2 linked regions of the Mus musculus genome follow. The protein of the gene in region 1 interacts with the protein of each later gene in a biochemical or structural test. Links are inferred from orthologs where the notes say so. Each region holds a gene or a part of one and is shown on either strand. Other genes may lie near its edges.

Evidence for each region.
Region 2: the proteins of Scn8a (region 1) and Fgf14 form a complex in vitro, tested with the Homo sapiens proteins (2 studies listed by BioGRID). The link is inferred for Mus musculus from reciprocal best matches to the Homo sapiens genes SCN8A and FGF14.

What each region holds. Positions count from the first base shown.
Region 1 is NC_000081.6:100,934,878-100,939,176, reverse strand, and holds the start of Scn8a (sodium channel protein type 8 subunit alpha), read right to left. Parts: upstream 2,907-4,299; 5' UTR 2,853-2,906; coding exon 2,577-2,852; intron 1-2,576. UniProt on the Homo sapiens protein: Pore-forming subunit of a voltage-gated sodium channel complex assuming opened or closed conformations in response to the voltage difference across membranes and through which sodium ions selectively pass along their electrochemical gradient.
Region 2 is NC_000080.6:124,134,975-124,138,795, forward strand, and holds part of Fgf14 (fibroblast growth factor 14), read right to left. Parts: intron 1,319-3,821; coding exon 1,208-1,318; intron 1-1,207. UniProt on the Homo sapiens protein: Probably involved in nervous system development and function.

The sequences.
Region 1 (4,299 bases):
AAGCTGAGAATCAGCAAGATAAAAGATTCCACAGCTCAGCATGTGGGGGCACACGCATGGCCATACCCTGAAAGCCTAAACAATGATAACAACAACAAGATTCCACGATAAACAAAAATGGAAGACAGACAACAGAACTAAGAAAACAACAGGAAGAAGGCTGAGAACAGGTGTCTGAGGTGGTCAGGCTCCTGCCACAGAGGATGCCGCCATCGCCATCAGGTTACCTCTGCAGGGAGGCAGGAGTGGGAGAGGGGATAAAGGCGGGCTTTTAACCAAATACCTCTGAAATTTTGATCATGTAAATATACGACCTGGTTTTAAAACGAGATAAGTCAAACTATGTATCTGTTCCTTAAACGTACTTATTTGTATTGAATAACTGAAAAAACAAAACAAAACAAAAAAACCCACGAAGGCCAAAGGGAGGAAGCACTAGCACCCAGTGCCCAGAGGGAGGGGCGCGAGGTGTGGCTTGCACCTTTCAGCATATAGGCTTGCAGGGGGCAGAGCTGTTTGTAGGGACCCCCCCCCCCCCCCCGGTAAAGACGGGAATCCAACAAGGCCCTCAAAGCTTAGGATGGCCAAACAAGACAATCATTTACCAGATGAGAGCTTATCTCCCAGGAATTACTCACAACAACTCCTGAAAGACAAACAGAGAGGAACATCCTCTTAAAGTCACTCCCCCACCCCATCCCACCCCACCCCGCGCTCCCACAAGCTTTTTAGTTAGTTGGTTAGTGAGAAGGGCCAGTAACAGAAATGCAGTGAGCACCTGAAGTAGGTCGAGAAAGCGTGTTCTTTTTAATCAGATGGAGAACTCATTTAGAAGGAGGGGTGCATGCCTGCCATGCTCAGAGCCTCCATTCAAGCCTTGGTGTAGAGTATGTGGTGTGATAATCTGTAGCTCCAGACTCAAGATGTAGAGGCAGGAGGATTAGGAGTTCTTGTGATTACATGGTGAGTTCGGGGCCAAGTTGGGCTACTATGTAAGACCCTGTCCCAAGTAGATGGCCAGACAGACAGACAGATTATGGATAGATTATAGATACGTAGACAGATTATAGATAGAGATAGATTATATGTAGGTAGGTAGATAGACAAATTGATAGATTATATGTAGGTAGATAAATTGATTGGTTGATAGATTATAGGTAGCTAGACAGATTATAGGTAGACAGATAAACATTGATGTGCAGTGAACATATCTTAACTGCTGGCAATGCTTTCTTGACTTCATTTGTTTGCCTTAGAGTAGCCATGTGTATTTATGTATTTATGCATTATGTATGTATGTACATATGTATGTATGTCTGTCTGCACACACCATTGAGAGGGTGTGCATACCAGGGCACTCAGGTAATCTGAAGACAACTCACAGGTTCCCCCCCCCCCCCCGTCACATGGGACCCTGGGACCCCCCCCCCACCCCCCGTCACATGGGACCCTGGGACCACACTTAGGCCCTTAGACCTAGAGTTTTCCCTGCTGAGCCTTCTCACTAATCCTAGGTAGGTCTCTTAGCTCTATTCCACTTACAAGACAAAGGAGCTGAAAGCTTTTCTTAAATTGCACTAACTGCACCAGTTCAAAACGGGCAGGCGTGTTAACAAAGATCGTGTACTGGAGCTTTCTATTGTAAATACACAATTACACACAACCTTCTCGCCACCCCCATTATCTGGAAAACCCACTGACACAGTTACTTAAATGACATCTGTGGCATGCGGTGGGTCTCCTACAAGGTGACATCAGCCCTCAAGGATCCAGCAGCTAATCACTTGGCCAGAGAGAATCAAACCCAGAGGCTTGGCTTCTTTCGTCTTATTTCATACACTAATCTAAGATTTGGGTAGACACTGTTCAGGAAGTTTGAGCCCTGGGCCAGATTGAAGCTTAGCCTTTTACCTGTGCCCCTGTCAGGCAGGGGGACAGGACTGGCTTTGCTACAAAGATCCATCCAAGCTATGGGCCTGGTGTGTGCCACTGTGTCTGCCCCACAAGGCCATGCTCCGGCGTCACATTGGAGGGCTGCACAGACAGCAGCACACCGTGGTCTCCATTCCATCTCCAGCCTGCTGCTGTGCTAACAATATCACCTTTATATACAGAGATGGGATACTAGTGTGGGTCAGGGAGATCCCGCACAGCTTTAGTATCTATCCTTCTGAATGCTAATAAGTAGATGTGTTTCAACTATGCCCACACTCCCTTCCTTCCTTTCCTCTGTCTTCCCCTCAAATTCCCAGGGGCTTCATGTGCTAGGAAGTGCTCTGTCACTGAGCTACATCCTCACCACCCTGCCACACATATGTTTTGTTGTTTTGTTTTTAAAGCTTGCCTGGAGGCAAGACTGGAAGTCTTGCTAACAGGGGTTGGTCTGTAGGAAGGCCTGAAAGTGACCCACACCAGCAACAAAATGGGGAAAGAAGACCCCAGGTGGAAGCAAGGCCTCGCTATGTCTTCCCTGACACAGCACGGGTCTCCCTGCTTGGGCAGAGACACAGCTCCGTCTCCCCTCTCCCCAGCCTGAAGGGAAGGGGGCCTCTGCAGTTGGGCCTCCTCCAACTCACTTTCTGCGTCAAATAGTACGGGTCAAAGTCCTCCAGGGGAACCGCAACCAGGCCTTGCGGGATGTCCCCGTAGATGAAAGGCAAACTCTTCCCCGCCTCCAGGTCACTGTTTGGCTTGGGCTTGCTGTCTTCATCGTCCTCCCGGTGGCTGCCATCCGCCTTGGGTGGTTTCTTGAGCTTGCTCTCGGCGATGCGCCTCTCGATGTTTGCCAGCGACTCGGGGGTGAAAGGCTTGAAACTGTCGGGGCCTGGTGGTGCGAGCAGCCGCGCTGCCATCTTCTCATTCTGCAGCAGCTTCGTTAGTTATGCTGAGTCCGGGACAGGTCGGCTCTGGAAGAACAGCAACACAGGCAGCGTTAATCAATCACCGCTCTAAAAGGAGGCCGGGATGAAGCCAGCTCGTTCTCAACCTCCATTCACAGCCTCTGCCACACGGCTTCCACTTCCGCACGCTTCATCCTCATCTTAAAAAATCTACAGCAAGAGTGGCTTGGGTGACCTTTGTAATGGTCCTCGGGAGAGCGGTCAGCCAGGGAGAGGGGAAGACTGGGGTCTCCCTAACTGTGGGCATATACAGTATTTATCTAAATCCAACCCACTGTTGAGAATCACACACAGGCACTCCGTTCTCGGCTAACAAGGCAGTTAGAGCTCCCTAGGGCCTGCCTTTGCATGCTTCCCCTCCTCCCTCTGGATCTACGCTCCAAGAAAAAAAAAAGTTTTCCTTTAAGGGAAAGGAACGGGTAAATTTTCCCTCCTCTCAAGAACTTCACTTTCGGAAAACAAAACTAACTCCTTAAAACTTCTGCCGACAGAAAATAATGGCAAAATAGCTCCCGTCTGAATTCATCCTTCCATTTCAAAGGTGTTTCAATTGACTGAGCTGTGGGAAATCTGCCTAGTATAAGATTCCAGTGGTATCTTTTTTTTAAGGATCAAGAACCCACTGGGGACAAACAAAGAAGACATCTTTCAGTGGAAAGGGCTGCCATCACTCCCACAGATCGCTGCTTAGCAATGAGAAAGACCAAGAGAACCTCCAGGTCCCCCCATGTGCCAGCCACGTGGCACTGCAGGCCTGGGGGTCTGGCTCCCTAATAGAGACTCAGACAGAAGGGAAGATGGACCAGAGACTCTGCCCTTTAGAATGAGCAACAGCATAGAAACCAGGCATCAGGGATTGTGTAGCCCACGTTCGAAGAGCCTTTGCACTCCTGTAGACAGAACCCCGAGTTACTTCCATCCAAGACAGGGTTAGGGTTAGGGTTAGGGTTAGGGTTAGGGTTAGGGGATCAGGATGCAGAGAAGCACTCGCTCATGTCTGAATGGACACAGACCAGGCGCAGTACTTCCCCTGCTGCTCAGAGTGGTGCTTCCAGCCTGGGCAGCATAAGGTCAGCCCAGGAAATATACTTCTTAATGTTCTGTCTCTCACAGTCCACACATCCTTTAAGAGTATTTATTGACTTAGTGTACATACACACACACACACACACACACACTCCCAGGAAATAGTTTTGGAAGACTAGAGATTGCTGTTTCTGCTCCTACTTAGTCCTCAGGGTCCACTTCCCATATCTATATAATGGGAGCCTGCTCAAGAGAGGGACCGTAAACGCTTACTGGTGTCCCTCAGGACTCCTTTCACGGATCTGCCAGCCCAGACTCTGCCTTCCTGTAGCCAGGCACTTTCAGCATGGGGCTTCCTGGGTAAGAACCAGAC
Region 2 (3,821 bases), on another chromosome or scaffold:
GTTTCTTTTATTCACAGTACCTGAGTTATTTTTCCTTCTCTTTTCCCAATAAAAAGGAAAATATAAATGAATAAATAAATAAATAAATAAATGGGAAATAATATAAAGATCATTTTTAAGGCAAAAAATGCAAGACACAATAGAAAGATTTATTATTTAGAAAAAGAAAAGGAAGATTAACAAGAAAATGTATCTATAATATTATTTGAATGGAGTAAAGCAAGTCCCACAAATTACCAATGTAAACACAATATTCATAAATCTCAGCTCATTTCAGATTTAAAGATAGGAAAATATCAATACTTCACATAGACACATCATGTGTAAAACAACTGATTTCATGTCATTAATTGATCTCAGAATCCATACCTCAGAACTTGATGAGTAGAACTAAAAAAAAAAAAAAAAAAAAAAACCAAAAAAAAAAAAAAACCAACCAACCAAACAAACAAACAAAAAAAACCCAGGAAGGGCTGATTATTCCATTAAATGAATCAGGTTTTCCTTTCTTTTTATGGATTATAATCTATTGTGAAGAGAATGATAACTAGACAGTTATCATTGCTCATGACATAAGGGCTCTAGTCCTGCAACTAAATCTATCAAAACACATTTTGGTAATTTTTCTGAACCCAGCAGTAAAAGGGGTGTGTGTGTGTGTGTGTGTGTGTGTGTGTGTGTGTGTGTGTTAAAACTAACGTGCAATTAGAGGAAATTAGAGACCAGCATAGGAGAAAACGTTTAAGTAAGGAGGGTCCCAGATAAATCCTGTGAAAAATGTAATAATTGTAACATAAAAAAATAGCACATAGAAGACAACATTACAAAAAGTACATTGTTTTTTAAATGAACACAGACCCTATTTATAAGATAATCAAATGTTTTATATAGTGTATATATACAAGAGTAATAATCTGAAGATTACCCTCTATGCAAAAGATATTAACTTTTATACTAATGCACCAATGTACCTAACTGTTATAATCAGGGATGAATACTGATGTTCTGGACATAACCAGTCTGTGAGAAAAAAACAAACTCAGTTTAAGACCAAAAGTGCCTCCTTCTACATTAGTACCTTCATGAATGTGGTCTCAGTGAAATGATGCATGCATTCTCGTGGGCAACTAGAAAAGCCAACAGAACCAAGCATTTAGAAATGCATCTCATGAAGCCATTTCAGTAGCAGACCTGGTTTGTCACTTACTGGAATTGGTGCTGTCATCCTTGGTTCCATCGAGAGCTCCATCGGGGTGCATCTGCAAGTAGTAGCCTTGCCTGCAATATAACCTGGTCACTATGCCCTTGAGCTGGGGATCTGAAAGGCAAATACAAGGGTTATCAGCTTCACAAGGCTGAGGGGAAAGTTGGCTGTTACCCTTCTTTTAAAATTTTTGATGTTTCTTTTTCAGAAGAAGACATTTTGTAGAGGCTGCACATTTCTAGCTCCCAGACTTGTCTGGGTCATGATATCCAGACTACACAAACCACCACAATTAAAGCAGGCATAATAATAAGCTTCAGAAAATAGGGCATTTCATGAAACTAGAATGTGTGTTTACATTATTCATTACATGGTTAAACTAATTAAATCACTAGTTTAATTATGATTTTAACCTCAAATTATTCCTTTCATTCAGGGTGGCAATTCCAGATTTTCAAAGAAGTGACTCAGAAACTTTATTAAAGATTTTAATTTTCATTTTACTTAAATTGACAACCTTAAGCGTGAGAAAACTGTACTTTAAAATAATATGTTAAAATGCAGTGTACATTTTACTAAAACTCCCAGTTTGGACAACGACCCCCTCCTGCTTGCATGGAAGAACTTGTGGTGTTTATTAATGACACATACAAGAGTCAGACATTTCACTTCTGAACGCAAAGTGAGGCCTAGGATCAAAAGAAGATTGGGCTTGGCTCAATGCTGTAGTGAGTGCCTTGCATGTGCAGCACCCAGCACTGCTGAAACAAAACAAAACAACAAAACAAAACAACAAAACAAAACAACAAAACATAACAATACATTAATCAACATAGGAGTCAGCTCTAGGACAAGTTACTAGTTAAGGTGTAAATGAAACAAGAAAGCTCTTCATTTATATAACTGAAAAGTACAGCCAAGTATGTATGTATGTATGTATGTATGTATGTATAAAATATATACATCACATATATGTATATATACATATTTATGATGTATATGATGTACATGTATATGTATATATGTGTGTGTATGTGTATATATATACATATATATGTATGTATAATTTGATTTTTGAACATCAGGCATGGAAGTAAATGGAGGTGGGCATTTACTAGAACAGAAGGGGAAGCTATGTATTGTGGTCTTCCTACTTAATGACTCTGAGAAAAGGTATATGCCTAGTAATTCTAGTAATGTTTCCCTAGAAGCTAGCTCTGTTTAATAAAATAAGTATTTGCATGTGGCTTTGCAAAGGCCATCCTCATTTTGGGAGCATATCTAATATGGGGCATCATCATTCTTACCATGGCAACAGGCTTCTCTCCACAGCAGCTGAATAAAACATGCAAATTTGTTTGTGCTGTCCAAATTACAGGATGCCGTGAACAATTTAGCATATAGTCTTTAATAACTACAGACTAGCCAACAGGCAAACAGAAACAGCAAACAGGCCAAACAGAGAGATTTGTCCCCAACAGAATAGCTCTGGGATTTTGATTAGCTTTTAAGAAATGAAAAAAAAAATCAAGCTCAGCCATTATTTTATGCACACAGCTGCATTGAGCACATTTACTTCAGAGATGGGATGATGAACTGGACACAAATAACATTCTGGAAAGTGAGCTAATATTGAAGTATTATAACATCTCTGTAACAAGCATGTCAGAAGACAGGTGTGTTTAAAATGCTGATTGTAAAAAAGAGATATCTAAGTGATAATTAAGGCTGTATTGTATATATACCTGCTTGGTTTTGGACCCTGGGACAAGGGACTGAGGTGTATGTTTTACATATCAAAGCAGACATGGCCTCCAGGTTCTCCTAGAATCTCTCAGTCCCTACCTGGCTCTAACCCTGAACTTCCTAGTCCCCCAAAGGCGCTTCCCTGTAAAATCTAGTCATTTTATTACCCCCTTCTCTCTATTTCTCTCTTCTCCTTCTCTTCTCTGCACATGCTCATTCTCCCTTTCTTTTTCCCCTCTGATCTCTCTCCCTTCTCATGGCAATTCCTCTGGCCTTAGTCCTTGGGGCCAGTGAACTCACCCAAGAGCAGCTTCCAGTCAACCTGCATTTAATATAATCTAATCTGGCTTGAATTGGCTTATTTCACCAGCAAAGAAATAATTTATCAAAGCCTTTTTCTATAACAAGTAATTTCAAATTTTCATAATTCCATAATTAATTAATCCCATAATTCTGATTTGTCTTTTTCATTCTTTTGTTCTGTCAGAGCACCCAGCCCATGGGATGATATGGCCTACATTCAAAGTACATGTTTCCCTGCAGTTAATCCTTTCTGGAAATTATCTCATAGATATAACCAGAGTCAGAACCCACCAGATAAGTCAATCCAATCAGGTGGAAAATTAAGATTAACAGTTGCTTGAGTAATAATTGCCATTGTTGTTGCTGTTGTTTGCTTTGGTTTTTGATTATTGAAATTAGATGTTTTTTTCCATACAAGAAATTCTGATCATGTTTCCCCTTTCCAATTCTTTCCAAATTCCATACTTCTGAGAGGAACATTTTACATATATATATCCTCACATTCATCTGCTTAACATGCCCTGTCCACTACAGTCCTGTACTTGGTATTGGCTACATTTCTTATGCT